2 linked regions of the Diceros bicornis minor genome follow. The protein of the gene in region 2 purifies or fractionates together with the protein of the main gene of each other region. This does not show direct contact. Links are inferred from orthologs where the notes say so. Each region holds a gene or a part of one and is shown on either strand. Other genes may lie near its edges. The genes, in order: RNF113A and CARNMT1.

Region 1 (7,316 bases), on a different chromosome or scaffold from region 2:
CTTTCTCCTTTTCTTTCTCTCAGCTCTAAGACTTCTTGATTTATGCCTTTAATCCCACCTCTTCTCAGTTCTAGCCACCTTCTAGAGCTTAGTCAGCAGCAGCATTCTTTTTCTTTCATATTTGTTTTCTCCCAGACCCTTTCCCTCAGCTTATTATATATAATAGGTAGCAATTCAATGTATATCTTTTTCCATAAAGCTTTATTCTACTTTTGAATAACTTTCTTAGTATAAATTCTAAGGAATAGTAAAAAAAAAATGAACCATTTTTGTGATTCTTTTGCTACTCATTACCGTATTTCTTTCCATGACACTTTTTAGAACACTGTCTTCCTTTGCCTTCTATGGCAGTGTACACTCCTGTTTCTCAGTCTGCCTCTACAACGTCCTCTTTCCTGTTTCCTATTCGGCTCTATTACTTTGTCCCCTCCCTTAAATGCTGTTTCCCGTGTGATGACTTCTTTTGTGTGTGTGTGTGATGATTTATTAAGCCATTTTCCCAGTAGGCTTCTCATGTATCCCCACTATACTTTATACATTGTTATAGAATGTGGTGGACCCTGTGGTGCTAGCTACAAGTCCCCCAACCGAATTCTCCCACTCAACACCCCCCTCCCCCACAACACACACGCACCTTGGCTGGGGTGTATTTGAAGTAGTATAGGCTCCCAGTAGAGATAACGCATGCAAGTACTTTTGTAAACTATTGATACGGAAATGTGATATAACAAATAGGTTCAGTTTTTGCTTTCATCACAGCTTTGGTTATTTCAGCGAATTCTAGCTCTTTTCTTGAACTTCTCCCATCCCCAGAATTTAAGCCAAAGGATTCTGAAAAGGATCTGTTACACACAGGCAGCATTTATACAAGGTAAAAATTCAGATTATACCTACCTCGATGCTTTTACAAGGTATCCATCCAGGACCCTACTTCACCACCCGCCTTTTCCTCTGACACTTTCCCTGGAAAGGAAGGACACGAATTAACATTTCCAAAACAACAAAATATTTATTTTGATTTTTGAGAATAATGGGAAAACTAAGTAATGGGGATTGGACCCTCATCGGGGTCTTCTGGGAAATCGGAAGCACCACCCTCTTCTGCAGCTCGATGCTTCTCCAGTTTAGCGATCAATTCTTTCGCTGGATTGAAGACGCCATTGGTTTGCTGGTCACAGACATAGCAGCGCGGGGTGGTGCGGAAATGCTGCAGTGCACAGCTCTCGCAGAAATAATGCCTGCACTTGGTGACAACTGGGTTTTGGAAGGTCTGGCGACAGATGAAACACTTGAATGGTATTTCCTCATCATCGCTTCCCACTTCATAGTTTTCGTCCTCATAGACACCATAGCGACCCTCATCAAGCTCACGTTCGATCTGCCACCCATGCTTGTAATCTGAACGGTCATGGAGGAATTTGCAGCTGTCTCCGAAGCCGCAAAAGCCAGTCTCCTTGTAGTCCTTACAGATGTCGGGCTGGTAATCCCAGCGCACGGTGGCACGTAGATGCTCGGGAGCTCGGATGGGGCCCTTCCTCACCATCCCGGAGGAAGCATTGCCCATAGACGTATCCTTGGGCTTCATATATTTCTGATAATTATTGATTCCCCGATAGATCTTGTCATCTTCCTTGCCCCTCAGCTCCTCCTGGATCTTCTGGCTGCGCTCAAAGATGGCTTGTGCGTCACGCTCCTTCTCTGTGTCTAGCTCGTAGACAGCAGTCGCCCCCAAATCCTCTGGGCCCACGGGTTTCGCCGAGCGGGTGGACTTGTAGACCACGCCGAGACTCTCAGGCTCCTTCTCCTCCTCTTCCTCGCTACTGAAGTCGCCGTAAACCGCCTTCTGTTTACCACTGCCACGGGTTTTCTGTATCATCGGATTGTGGGTCACCCTCTTCTTTTCCGGGCGAACCACAGTGCTGCCTTCTTCACCGCTGCTGCTGCTGTCTTCGGGCTCTCGGTCGCGGACTGGGCGCTTTCTGCGGCCTGCAGCCCCTTTCCGCCCAGGCTTTTTGAAGAGGAAGGTGCACACCTGGTCTGTCACCTTTCCTGGAGAAAGCTGCTCCGCCATTTTAGAGTCCCGAGCTCCGAAACGGCTGCTCGCGCGGGGCCTCTTCGCGTCACTGCACGGCGTGCGCTCCGCCGCGACTCGGAGCAAAACAGACTGCAGAAGGAAGACTGCGGGAGCGCGGGAGCGCGAGCACACGCCACTCTTGAACCCTGCCGGACTCCGTCGCTTCCTCCAGAGGCGTACGTGACCCCGCCCCGCTCGCGGGCTGCCGCGGAGTTTACCCGGAAGGGACCGAAGCCGGGTCACCTTTAAGGGGCCTGGGAGGAAGTGTCTGGTCCCGGTAACCGTGTTGCGATGTGGTTCGAAATTCTTCCCGGGATGGCCGTCATGGCCGTGTGCTTGTTCATCCCCGGAATGGCCACGGCGCGCCTCAACAGGTTCACTAACGGGGGCAAGGTAAGGCAGCTTCTGCGGCCCGACGGCTGACTCCGCGGATTGGCGTTACAAACTGGGCGGTGGGGTAGGGAGGCCGGTAGAACCCGGAGCCTCTCTCCGAGATGGGGAGTCCCAAGGTCGGCCCTCTCCTTTCTTCGTGTTGCCTAAAAGCAGAGGCTTGCGGAATGAAGCCCAACGGAAACCACATTCTACTCTAGCAAGAAGTTGCTGGGTGAAGAGTGGGCAAGAGGGCAGAGTAGAGGCAGAGAGAGGCATCAATTAGTTTTGTCCCCGCTTCCTCCGACCTCCAATCTCCTTTCTTGCTGGATTTTGATTTTAATTTCTCGCATCCACGTCTTGGTAGCTTCGTTTTTGACGTGTTCCCTACCCTTAATTAGGTTTTTACCTTGACGTTTTTTATCTCCCACTTTTTCTTGCAAGCCTTTAGGAATTTACCGCAAGATCCTGTTATTCACATCAGGATTGTAATTTTCCTCTCTTCCTAGTCCTTCCCATCATCTCTGGAATACAGAGTGTAAATGTGTTTGCTTTCTGCTTTTGTGATTGTCCTTCACGTGTGATCTACCACTGTTGTTTCTTCTCATTAGGGTCCCAAAAGGAAACAAGTAGTCATATCTTTTAAAAAAAGGAGGAAAGAAAAAAAATGATGCTGGTTAAAATAGGAAAGTGTAAGAACTCATGGTTACCATCTTAATTCTAAAGTTTAGTCGTCCGATTTTATTTAGGATTATTGTCTTCTATTGTTAATTTGGTTTTTATTTCAGTGATGATTCCATTTTTCTATAATGTCACTTATTAAAGTTCTAGTATCCCTCTATTGGGTCACTTATGTTTATAAACTGCAATAATAATTTCTTTTAATTGTAGGAAAAAAGGGTTGCCTATTATCCATATCAGTGGAGTTTGATGGAAAGAGATAGGCGCATCTCTGGAGTTAATCATTACTATAAGTCAAAGGTAAGATGGTTCTGATGCTAGCCATCTGTCACGGAGGTGGGTTCTGGTAATATTTTGCCAAAAGTCTTACAGTGCTAATTTAGTTTGCATTTTCTTGTCTATTAGTGAGGTTGAGTAGCTTTTTACATATTTAATAATCGTTTGTATTTCTTATTCTGTGGATTGTTTGCCTATAATCTTTGCTTGTTCTGTTGTCTTTTTCTTTTTGATTTATAGCAGTTCTTTATGTATTATGAATATTAATCTTTTATTTTATATGTGGCAAATATTTTTCCCAGTCTGCTGTTTGTCTTTTTCACTTCACGATGTCTTTCATCAGATAGTAGTTTTTAATTTTGATGTTCAGTTTATCATAGTTTATCCTTCTGGATTTGGGGTTTTTTGTCTTGCTTACAAATGACTTTGCTACCCAAGATTGTAAAAATATATTCTTACAATTTTTCTAAATACTGTTACAGTTTCTTTTTTCTTTTCTTTTCTCTTTTTACATTTAGTGCTTTGACCCTTCTACAGGTCATTTTGGGACATAATGTGAAGCCAGGATTTGACTTTTCTTTTTTCTAAGAGATAGCCAGTTGTCACAATTATCCATTTATAGAATAGTCCATTTTTTTATTTGAAATACCACTCTAGTAAACTAAATTTCCATATACACCTGGGCCTGTTTCATGAATGCACTCTTCTATACTCCATTGGTTTGCCAATTCCTGCACCAATACCATATGTAAAGAAGCACTATAATTTTGTATGTGCTTGAATCATATGAAATTGCTGTTTTTTGTAGGTTAAAAATGGCCAAGTAGTAGCATTTTCATATGGTTCAACCTAATAGTATGTTCTTATATCTTGTAGGAGTTCGTCTTCATTATTCTTTTAAAATATTTTAGTTTTTTATATTTTCTTCTTGCTCATTTATTCTTCAGTGAACTTGGGTAAATATTAATTCCATTTTATAGATGAAAAAATAGAGAGTCAGAACGATTAAATAACACTATAAGGACTCAACCTAGGTGATCTGCCCCTCAGTATATATTTGAGAATCTAATCTAATCTACGTGATGATATCTACAAATCTAGAGCAGTATTTCTCAAGTATGGTCCAAGAATAACCATCAGAATCACCTGGCATATGAGATAAAATACAGATTCCTAGGCCCCTGGCCAGACCAAATGAATTAGGATTTCTACAAGGTGGCCCCTAGGACTATGCAATTTTAATTTGTCTCAAGGTGATTCTTCCTACAATAGTAAACAAAATATCTGGACTGTGTTATTTTAACACCTGGAAGAAATGTCATCATTTCTTTTACTTAATCTTTTACTTTATAGTTTCTGAAGTATTTGGTTGTGAACTGAGTAAGACAGAGTGGGTCTTCTGAATAAATAGTGTCATGCTTACAGGGCAAGAGTTCTGGAGTTGGAGGAGTCCCTAAACTTGAATTCTGGCTCTGCTACTGCCTTACTGACTTAAGCAAGCAACTTTAAACCTCTCTCAGCCTCCATTTCTTCATCTGTAAAACAGTGGAATGAGGCTAATAGTATCTTCCTCATGTTGACTGTTATTTTATAAAACGGTTTTATCTTACTGTCCTCTGACTCTCTGAGGGTACTTTATAGAAGGATGCAGATGGTAACTATGTAGTTGCTTGCCTTTAGTTTTGATATGGGAGGGTCTTTTTATGTAAAGTGATAATGTTTGCTGCTGTCAGAAAAAGAAAACTAGAAATCATTATAGGTTATTCTTTTTACTTTAGTGATTATAAAATTCAGTCCAATTTATTGTTAGAGTTAGAGCAATGTGGGATGTGGAAGTACTTTCTTAAATGACAGAGAATGCCATTTGGTGACACTGGAAATAAGAGTATGTGTACATTTTTGATGGGAAAATAATTTTCACGTTTTCCTTTTTAAACTGTTTTTCAGGGTTTGGAGAACATTGATTAAGGAAGCATTTTCCTGATTGATGAAAAATAACTCAGTTATACTCATCTACCCCTGCTAGAAGATTATGTAATGTATTATGTAGTACCTAATAAAAATAAAATGAAAAAGTAAAATCGAAGGTTTTCTTTACTTTTTTTAATAGTACTACACAAGATCAAGCAGTCTACCCAATGTAGCTTTATCACTTTAAAAAAACTGGAAAGCGACTGAGGCTTGTAAAATTACAGACATAATGTATACCAAGTGGGGCCGGCCCCGTGGCTTAGCGCTTAAGTGCCTGCGCTCCACTACTGACAGCCCGGCTTTGGATCTGGAGTATGCACCGCCGCACCGCTTCTCCAGCCGTGCTGAGGCTGTGTCCCACATACAGCAACTAGAAGGATGTGCAACTATGACATGCAACTATCTACTGGGGCTTTGGGGAAAAAAAAAAAAAAAAGGAGGATTGGCAATAGATGTTAGCTCAGAGCCGGTCTTCCTCAGCAAAAAGAGGAGGATTAGCATGGATGTTAGCTCAGGGCTGATATTCCTCACAAAACAAAAAAAAATGTACACCAAGCACCTGCCACAGTGCCCAACATCTAATGTGTCATAAATGGCAGTTGCTACTATTGTAATAGATACTAATATACTAAAAAACATTGTTTCTTCAGAGATTGTCAGGAGAATACAGAAAGAGTAGTACTTTTTTTCTAGTTCCTTTTCTGGGTGAATCCTATAGTGTTTAAAATTCCAGTTAGGGGCCGGCCCCGTGGCTTAGCGGTTAAGTTTGCGCGCTCCGCTGCTGGTGGCCCGGGTTCGGAGGGCGCGCACCGACGCACCGCTTCTCCGGCCATGCTGAGGCCACGTCCCACATACAGCAACTAGAAGGATGTGCAACTATGATATACAACTATTTACTGGGGCTTTGGGGGAAAAAAAATAAAAAATAAAATTCCAGTTAGGATGCTTTAAAACGTTGCACCTTCAACTTTCATTCATTCTGTATCTAACACACAGTATTTGCTTAAGTGTTGATTTTTGTTTTAGTGTAGAGCAGCAACAATCATGTTTAATAAAATGAGTGTACTGACCACTTGAAATAAAGAGTTGCATGTTCAACATTAAAGGTAACCAAATAATATGAAGATCTGAAAAGGTATAACTGCTGTAAAGATGGTGATACTCCATGTGTATAGATCCACACCCCAGATGGCCACAGGACCTGTAGGTGAGAAATCTAAATTGTTTTTCATCTCCATCTTTTATCTAGTGTAACATTTGATCTGCTTATGACCTTAAACACACCTGCACTGTGTGGTTTCCGTTGACTGCATCTGACAGGGCAGGACTTAGAGAGGAAGGAGGTGGCAATCACACTTAGAGTAATACTCTATACTGTGCCACCCTGTGAAGATGAAACTGTTCAAGGAAAGCCGTGGTCATGACTACAAACTTAATCAACCTCTAGTCTACATTTAGTGCTGCACAGGCCTCATTTAGTTGATTGTTATGAGAACTATCTTTGGAAAGGAAGAAAGAGGGCAGGTAGTACAGATGGAGATAGAGAAGACTTATTGACAACGTACTGAATCCGTCACTAAACCTATTGATTTTGAGGTCTGTTATCTCTGCTGTGCCTCTAGGCAGGGATCATCCACTAAGTTTACCTCCTTAGATGAATATAGGGGCTACAGAATGACAGGTAGAAATTGGTCAGGTTCAGCATTAGGGTTTGAATTCTTCACCTCCCTTTTCTGTGGCACCTGCTATGAAATTTAGCCTTATTTTTATACTCTACTGCCAGGGAGTGAACCAGATTAAAACACTTTGAAGCTAGAAGATTATAGTGGTGCTTCGTAGCCTGCACTTCTCTTTGAGTTTTTGCAAGTGCAATTAGCCAGAAGGGTTTTCTTACAGCAGCTCTGAAAGATGTGGTCCAGCCACTGACCTCGGGTCCATAGGTCAC
Region 2 (9,172 bases):
GCAAACTACGGCCCACTGGCTACTCAGTCCGTTTTGTAGAAAGTTTTACTAGAACATAGCCATGCCCATTTGTTCACACATTGCCTATGGTTGCTTCCACACAAGGGCAGAGTTGAATAGTTGTAACAGAGACCACCTAGCCCCCAGAGCTTAAAATAGTTATTGCCTGGCCCTTTAAAGAAAGTTTGCCAACCCCGCTTTAAAGGAATGTTTTACAACCTTCAGACTCTCCTTGGTTCAGAAGTCAGCCAGCATCAAGTGGCCACATCCTCTGCTGGCTAAGGGGAGAATACAGTAGAGTCAGCAGTCATATTTCCTCAAGGGTTGGCAGTGACCCCAACTCTGACTTAGTCACCTTTCATCAGGGTCAATCCAATGCTGGGTCTGAGCCAGGGTCCAAGGTCATAGGCCCATTCCTCTGCACCTGTTGAACTACTCTAGAATTGCAAACAGAAAAGCATATCTTTTCAGAAGGAACGTCTGTCCAATCCCATTTTAAATATCTATTACATACCCAAAGTTAAAATTTTCTTACTATTATCACTACTTACTAACACTAGTAATTTACTTACTAATAAGGGTAAAATTTTAGTGAACAATTTTGAATTTCAGGCCAGAATCTACCACAATTTGGTTGTGTAACCCTGAGCAAGTTGCTCACCTCTTTATATGCCTATCCCCTCACCTGTAAAAATAGACTCTACATCTCAATTTTAAACATCTCATCTAACCACTATTTCTAAAAGTAGGATGTTTCTGACAAGACCTTTGATTTTTCAACTGTAGTATTTTCTATGTGACTAGGTATCTTCATTCAACAAGAGGGGTATTTTAAGGCAAACGGTTTTTGTTATTCAGTACAAGGCTATAATCATTTTTACCTTAGTCAGAATACATCATCTAAGCAAAATCTGTAGGAAGTACAAAATTGGAAGCCATTGGAAAGAGAAAACATCAATCAAAGGACATTTCTTGCTCTATGACCTTTAATCTTAATCTCCTATAATCTTAATCTTAAAAGACATTTAGCAGTAAAACCAAACTCTCTAAAGTTTGGAAGTACCCGCTGAAAGTCTAGAATAGGACTGTCCATCAGAACTTACTGCAAGACGGAAAGGTTTACACCTGCACTATCCAATCCAGCAGACACTAGCCACATGTGGCCAGTGAGCACTTGAAATGTAGTTAGTGAGACTGAGGAAATGAATTGTAAATTTTATTAAATTTTAATTAATTTAAGCTTAAATTTAGCCAGATGTTATTAGTGGCTACAGTATGAGATAGTGCAGATCTAGAAAACCACAAAATGTTGGAATGTAACAATTCCAGTGTGTTTTCTGCTACACAATGCTTTCCACACTCTCAGTCCTTTAACTGATATTTTAAAAGCATATTTTTTATTGCATACTATTTTCAGTTTAGGAATTTGAAGTGTTTCATCAAGAGAGTCCATGCAAATAAAAAGGGTTGTTTTAAAAAAATGAAATTTTCCTCAACCCCACATTAACTGGTAAAGAAGAGGGATGAGAGTATAGGAAACGGTATCACATCCACTAGAAGGCTCACACAAGCACTCTTTTCTATATTGCCACACTTGGGTCCCAGTTCCAGGTAAAAGTTCCCCTGCTACCCCCCACCTCCACCCCCGAAAAAAAGGCCCATCTAATACCTAATCACAAATATCAATTCTAAATTAGTCCTAACATATTAGAACTGAGTACAAACACATTTTAACTAATTGGGTCCACTATATTCCCAAGACATTTTCCAATATTATTTCTAGATTTTTCTATAGTAAAATGTACCCGACTTTTCTGCACCTACCACTCTTAGCTATCTAATGTCAGCTACTTTCCTTGCCCGCCTGGTTCTTCCAGGCACAAAACTTGCATCAAATTCAATTCTCTTATTGTCTGCCTTCCTCCCTCTGTTGATACTAAATACTACGAATACTACGAATTCCCTTTTGGGCTCCATAAGTAATGCAGTCCACAGTTCCCAGGCCTGGGTTTAATGAGTAAACTATTTCATCAAGATCTTCGAACTTCAAAAATTCATGTCATTTCTAAATAACTTGAAGCTTTTACTAACCAAGTTTCTAAATTCAGAATAGTAACAAACTAATTTACCCATTAGTCACAAATAGACTATTGAGGAATGACAAATGTATTTCTTTGCTACTTATTTAGCAATGACAAACGTATTTCTTTGCTACTATTTGTCTTATTTGTTAAAAACAGAGCTTCAACAACATACGCCAAAGGCTGGCGACGAAAAAGTAAATAAGATTCAGTCCCTGTCCCTGAGGAGGTCACAGTCAAGCAACATAAAAAAGTCTGCACAAAGCACAGCAGGAGCCCATCTAAGGGAACAGTTTTAACTTGCGTAGGAGGTCCTGTCTGTCTGATTTCCAATGGCAGACTCAGAACACAGCCGTCGGCGGACTCATGTCTTAGACGAATAAAAGTGCCATCTTTAACCCGAAAATCTAGTTGATTTCAGTCCCTTTCAGATCTTGAAATTATAATTTTGCGACTAAGCTATTTTAACATCTATCTAAAAAGATGAAAAGTGGAAATCAAGAAGTTTAAAAGTCCTACCACCGTGCCCAGCCCACAGTGAGAATTCGATACATATTTGAAAATAAAAGATCATAAAGGCAACTCTTACTGCATCTTCTCTCATTTCCCTCCTTAATAATAAGCAAATTTTAGTACATCCGGCCCACCTCTGACCTTAATTTCACCCACCAGTTAAAGAAATTGAACGGGATCATTCACTCGCTCACCACAAATGTGCCTGTACGTTCACAGCGCCAAGGCGGGTGGGGGGTGGGGTGGAAATCTTAAGCTGCTCTCACAAGAAGTGGCAACAGTTTGGGAAAAAACGTCCTACAGCATCCCACGTGTAGGTGAACTTGGGCTCTCCGTGTGTTCAGTTTGGAGACAACCCATACACACCACGCCGTGCCCTGGACGATTTTACCACCATCATCTTCTACCTGAAATTGTTATAGCACTTCTCCAGTAAACCCCACCGGCCTCAAAGCCAAACCTTTAACGAGGGGTGGAAGGCAAGAGAGCTAATCTGATCCTCAGGTTAGAAGACAGGAGGCTGAGCAGCAGACGGCGCGGCAGACACGCGAGCGTGCAGGGCCCGGGCAGGGGGGCGCTAAGGTGACTCGGGGCCCCGAGGTCAGCTCAGGCGGCCCGGTCCGGGCGCCGGAGGCGTGGCGGCCGGAGAGCGAGCGCGGCTGGCGCCATCGTCCCGGCGGGTCCGCCGCAACCAGCGGGCGCCCCCACGGGCTAGGCCGGGGTCCGCCCCGGGCTCCTTACCCGTAGTAGCGGAAGGCATTAATGATCTTCCAGAAGTGCTCGCGCTCGAGCCTCTCCTCCTCCTCCTCGGTGCTGCGCGCGGCCGCCGCCGCCGCAACCGCCGCGGCGGAGCCCAAACGCCCGGCGGAGAACTGCACTTCCACCTCCTCGCTCCCGCCGCCGCCACTGCGGCCGCCGCCGCCGCCTCCGCAGCCCTCGGGCAGCCGAGAGGCGGGCGGCGGAGGGCGCCGCCGTCGCTGCATCGCCGCCGCGGCCCTCGGCCTGGCTCGCTTGCGTCTCGCCGCGACTGAAAGCGTGGTGGCGGCTGCTCGGCCTCCCTCTAGACGGCGCCCGCCGCGGACATGCCCCCAGCTCGCAGCGCGCTCCGCCCCCGCCACCCTCAGGCCTCCCTCCGCGCCGGGCTCCGCCAGGTCTTCAGAGCGCCCGGAACGAGTGCGCATGCGCATGCCAAGGTACGACGGAGGACCGCGGCCGCCTGCGTTCATTTGCTGCCGGGCGTCGGCGACGGCGCGCTGACGTCACGACGATGCGCCCAGTGGGCGGAGCTAATGGCCAGGTGGGAGGAACGAAGGAGGAGATTCCTGGTGGGGTGGGGTGGGGCTGGTACCTGAGAGCAGCCAGGTGGGTGGGGTTCCACAGCCTGCGAGGGCTGGATTCTGGAGCAGGCAGTTGGAGTAAGGCTAAAGTATTAGAAAAGGAGGGAAAGGCAGAAAAAAAGTTCAGCTTTGATGAATTTATTGGGAATTTTTATTTCAGAAAGTCTAGAAGGAAGGTGTTGCATTCATCCTAATTAAGTTTTATTTCCTAAATAAACTTCTATTTTTAATTACATACGGGGAGAGAGACACCATCATCTTTCCAGTGTTTAGGAGCCTGCCAAAGTCCCAATCCTGCCCTGATGGCAGCAGATGAGGAAAATGCAGGGATGTAACTCTATCCAGTACCCGTGCTGGGGAGGACCCTCGAAGCGCACAGGAGTCTTAATGCCCCAGCATTGGCGCAGGGACATCCACTAGCATCTAACCGTGGCCCTTAGCGATGCCGGGCTTAACCTCTTTCTCTTCTTCACCTGCGTTCACCTTTTGCCTCATTTCTCTCTGGGCCCGGGGCTAAAACGGCTGCCCTACCTGCATTTAATGTAATTCTTAGGAAATAACTCATTCCATTCAATTAAATCAGTCTCACAAAATAAAGGGAAAGAGTGTTTTATTTAAAAGAGTTAAACATGCATAGGGACCACAATTTCTGTTAAAAAGATATATTGCAAATAAAGTGCCTTCATACTTTCACGATTTAAGTGAAATAAAGACAATGCTAAAAATATACTGTGGTGGTTCCATGTTAATGTTATATTTTTATACAAAATTTTTATAAAATGTCAGTCTATTTTTGAATAGTAATGAAGTCATACATAGTTCAGAATTCAAAAGGAAAGTGCAGAGGGTTACAAATGTGGAGTTTCTTTATCCCTGTCCCTAGCCACCCATATCCCCTCCCCAGACAATATACTGATTCTTTTTCTATTCTTCCAGATTTTTCTATCCAGTGCCTATTTTTCTTAGAGACTGGTGCTTGGAAATTATGTATAAATTCTCATATTATTAATTGTTACCAATACTATTTTCATATACACATACGCAAGTTATACATGTCATAATTTGTGATATGTATTGATATAGGTCCAAATGACCTAATTGATAAAGGCCAGAATGCTGTGGATAATGATAATCAGCTACATACTTGTGAACATCTTGGGAAGTATAATAAACATTTTCAAATTAATTTGAATAGAGGCTTTCTTGGTTCTGTTTCATAATTTGTTGAGAATCTTAGGGTCTGTGTCATTAAGGTGCTCAGCTTTAAACTCAATTGTGATTTTGTACATGAAGAAACTGGAGGAGCGGACATATTAAGTGATCATCATAGGGCCACACAGTAAATTACTGGCACTGCGCCCACCTACCCAGGTCTTATGTCTTTATTTTATCAGTATTTGATTATGACACTGACTGTACTTTTAAAATATTATTCTGGGGGCCGGCCCAGTGGCGCAAGCAGTTAAGTGCGTGCGCTCCGCTGCCGTGGCCCGGGGTTCGCCTGTTCCGATCCGGGCGTACACTGATGCACCACTTGGCAAGCCATGCTGTGGCGGCGTCCCATATAAAGTGGAGGAAGATGGGCATGAATGTTAGCCCAGGGCCAGTCTTCCTCAGCTAAAAGAGGAGGATGTTAACTCAGGGCTGATCTCCTCACACACAAAAAAATATTATTCTGTCTAACATCTGTTTAACATTTTACATTTTTCAAATTGTTTTTCCCTATTGTTTTCCCTTCTTTGTTCCTTAATTCAACTCTCTGAAGGAGGTGTTATTATTATCTTCCTTTAACAAATGAAGAAACAGACTCAGAGAAATTAATTTTCTTGCCCAGGGACACATAAATAGCAGAGCTGAAGTTCATTTATTCATTCATTCTTTTCAACAAATGTGTTGATGGCCTCCTATGTTTCTTGTACTGCCCTAAAGGCAGCTAGAAGCTGGTGGAAACATGGGCGTCTCATTCTTGCTTTACCAGTTAGTAACTGTGACCTGTTTGAAAAGTTACTTGAGGCCTCGATTGTATTATTTCTAAAATGGATATAATATTACTTTTTTACAGGGTCATGAGGAGGAATAAATGAGATAAAGAATGACAAATGCCTGATATATCAGCCCAATAAATGTTTTCTCTCCTCCTTTCAGATGTCTTTAGAATAAGTTTTTGGCCTTGTTTTAAAACACTTTTAACGCTTCCTTAACCTAACTTCTTTGCAATGAGTTTCTCCTATAGAAATCTTCCCAAGTCATGGAGCCATTGGGCTGAAAGTTTTGGAATGTTTTCATCAGACGGAAGTCAGTTAATCTCCAGAAATTAGTAACCACAAAACACCATAATTCTTTTTTTAGTTATTCTGAAGAACTGTGAGTTAAGCAGTTAAAGCTACACATTCATACATTCATCATTGCTGATGGGAATGTGAAATGGTACAGCCACTGAGGAAAAGAGTATAACAGTTTCTTATGAAACTGAACATGTGCATACCATACAACCCAACAATTGCACTTTTGGACATTTATCCCAGAGAAATGAAAACATGTGTTCACACAAAAACCTGTACATGAAAGTTCATGGCAGCTTTATTTGTCAAAGCCCAAAACTGGAAACAACCCAAATGTCCTTCAGCAAATGAATAGTTAAACTGTGGCCATTCATACAAGGGAATACTACTCAGCAATAAAAAATGAATGAACTATTGATAGACTCCATAATTTAGATGAATCTCAAGGGAATTATGCTGAGCGGGGGGGAAGAAACCAATATCAAAGGATTACATACTGTATGATTCCACTTACGTATTTTGTCTTGAAATGCCAAAATTATAGAGATGGAGAACAGATTATCGGTTGCCCCAGGTTGAGGGTGGTAGTGAGGAAGGGTAGACTGCGGCTATAAAAGGGTGGCACAAGGGAAACTTGTGATAGAACTATTCTGTATCTTGACTATGGTGGTGGTGACACAGATCTATGCATGTGATGAAATTGCATAGAAATTAATATACACGCCATACACACATAAATGAATACCTATCAAACTGGTGAAATCTGAATAAGATCAGTTGATTGTATCAATGTCAACTTCCTGATTGTGATATTATACTATAGTTATGCAAGATATTGACATTGGGGTGAAGGGTATATGAGATCTGTCTGAATTATTTCTTACAACTGCATATGAATCTACAATTATCTCAAAATAAAAAGTATAATGACACATAAACTTGTAACTTCTACTTTATTCTTATGGATACATTTTTACATTTAAGCCCAAAACAAGTTTCTAAGTAAATTAAATACTTTTCTCATTTAAAACATTTGAATTATGGAGATTTTCAAAGTTATATAAAAATAGAGACAATAACATAAGAAATCTCTTATGTTATTATAACTCTTCACCCAATTTCAACAATTATCAACAATTATTTACTAATCTTGTTTTATCTAACCTCACCTTGTTGATTGTTTGTTCATGAATTTTTGTAGGGGTATTTTAAAGCAATTCTCAGACATTATATTATTTTTCCCATACACACTTTACTATGCATGTCTAAAAGGAATTTTTTAAAGATAGCCATCATTATTATATCTGTCAACAAAATTAATAATAAATCTTATCATCTAATATGCAGTTCTTATTCAAATTTCCCCAGTTGCCTCAAAGATGTCTCTTTATAGTTAGTTTTAAAAAATCAGAACATTATGACTACTCCTTTCTTTTATTCCTCAATCATTTGACCTGCAGAATATCCCATATTTTGGGTTTGGCTGATTGTTTTCTCGTGGTACCATGTCTTGCTTCTTTTACTCCACATTATGTTTTAAAGTTTTTTCCATGTTGTTGTATAAAGTGTAGTTTGTTCATTTTCATACCATGAGGTATCCCTTAGACAAACATATCACACTTTATTTTTTATTAGAAGCATTTTATTTTTTTCACGTACACTCCAGCTCCTTTAACCATTTTTGTTTTTCTTCAGAGCACTTAGCACTACCTGACATTGCATTCCTGTGATGGTTAATTTTATGTGTCAACTTAACTGTGCTAAAGGATGCCCAGACAACTGGTAAAACATTATTTCTGGGTGTGTCTGTGGGATGTCTCCAGAAGAAATTAGCATTTGAACCAGTAGACTGAGAAAAAAAAAATTGTCCTCACATTGTGGGTGGGCATCATCTAGTTCATTGAGAGCCTAAAATGAGCAAAGAAGCAGAAAAAGGGTAAGTTTGCTTGAGCTGAGACAGCGGTGCTCCTGGTTCTCAGACTTTCAGACTCAGCCCAGGACTTATACCATCAGCCTCCGCATTCTCAGGCCTTCGGACTCAATTTGCTTAATTTCGGATTTCTTCTCAATAGCGAATCTGCTAAAGGATGTTCTTTTATCACTATGATTCTGTTTGAAGCTACTCAAGTCATACAGCTATTAAATGGTAAAATCCAAATTTGAAAGCATGTCTATAAGCCCAAGAAACTATTAACCACTGGATCTACTGCCTCTACTGAAGTTGATCTTAACTTATCCTTAAATAAGTTTCATGAAGTCCTTTTAGTTTTGGAAACCTTATTAATTTGCAAATGATTGTTATTTACAGTGATTTAAATTCCACATGGGCGAGAAAAGATATGTATTTTGCTGACCAAAACTGAGAGACTAGATTGCCCAAGGAATATGTTTATGGAGGTAAACTATTTCTTACTCTTTATGTCAAATATCTTGTTTTTATGTCAACAGAGACTCAAACTGCTATTGATCTAAGGACTTCAAGAAAAAACGAGAAAGCAGCTAGTGGCTTCTTTGGCTCAATACCAGGCTTCCCTTATAATCATCATCAGTCTAGGATTTATGATTTTTATTCTTGGAATACCTCCATTAATTCTGCTCTTTCCAAGTACTGTCTTTGACTTAGAACTAGCTAGTTTTGCCTTTGTACTTTGTTCTAATAGCTGCATCTAGGCTAAGGACACCATAATTTGGTCTTAAAAAAATGAGCACAGGGGCTTGCTCCATGGCCTAGTGGTTAAGTTCAGTGTGCTCCACTCTGGTGGCCTGGGTTTGGTTCCTGGGTGCAGACCTACACCACTCGTCAGCGGCCGTGCTGTGGCGGTGACCCACATAGAAAATAGAGGAAGACTGGCACAGATGTTAGCTCAGGGTGAATCTTCCTCAGCAAAAAACAAAACAAAACGAACACACTCTCCACTATGGAACTAGAGATATGACTCCTGTAAAATGGTCTCTTTGT

What was found.
Region 1: the proteins of CARNMT1 (region 2) and RNF113A purify together in Homo sapiens (affinity purification with mass spectrometry; 3 studies listed by BioGRID and IntAct, counting the BioPlex papers as one, with this or other methods). This does not show direct contact. The link is inferred for Diceros bicornis minor from reciprocal best matches to the Homo sapiens genes CARNMT1 and RNF113A.

The regions. Positions count from the first base shown.
Region 1 is NC_080781.1:110,359,972-110,367,287, forward strand, and holds RNF113A (E3 ubiquitin-protein ligase RNF113A), read right to left. Parts: upstream 2,232-7,316; 5' UTR 2,072-2,231; coding exon 1,040-2,071; 3' UTR 984-1,039; downstream 1-983. Other genes in the region: NDUFA1 (NADH dehydrogenase [ubiquinone] 1 alpha subcomplex subunit 1), read left to right, coding at 2,366-2,467, 3,335-3,424, 5,348-5,368. UniProt on the Homo sapiens protein: Required for pre-mRNA splicing as component of the spliceosome. As a component of the minor spliceosome, involved in the splicing of U12-type introns in pre-mRNAs. E3 ubiquitin-protein ligase that catalyzes the transfer of ubiquitin onto target proteins.
Region 2 is NC_080761.1:18,786,075-18,795,246, reverse strand, and holds the start of CARNMT1 (carnosine N-methyltransferase), read right to left. Parts: upstream 3,681-9,172; 5' UTR 3,578-3,680; coding exon 3,336-3,577; intron 1-3,335.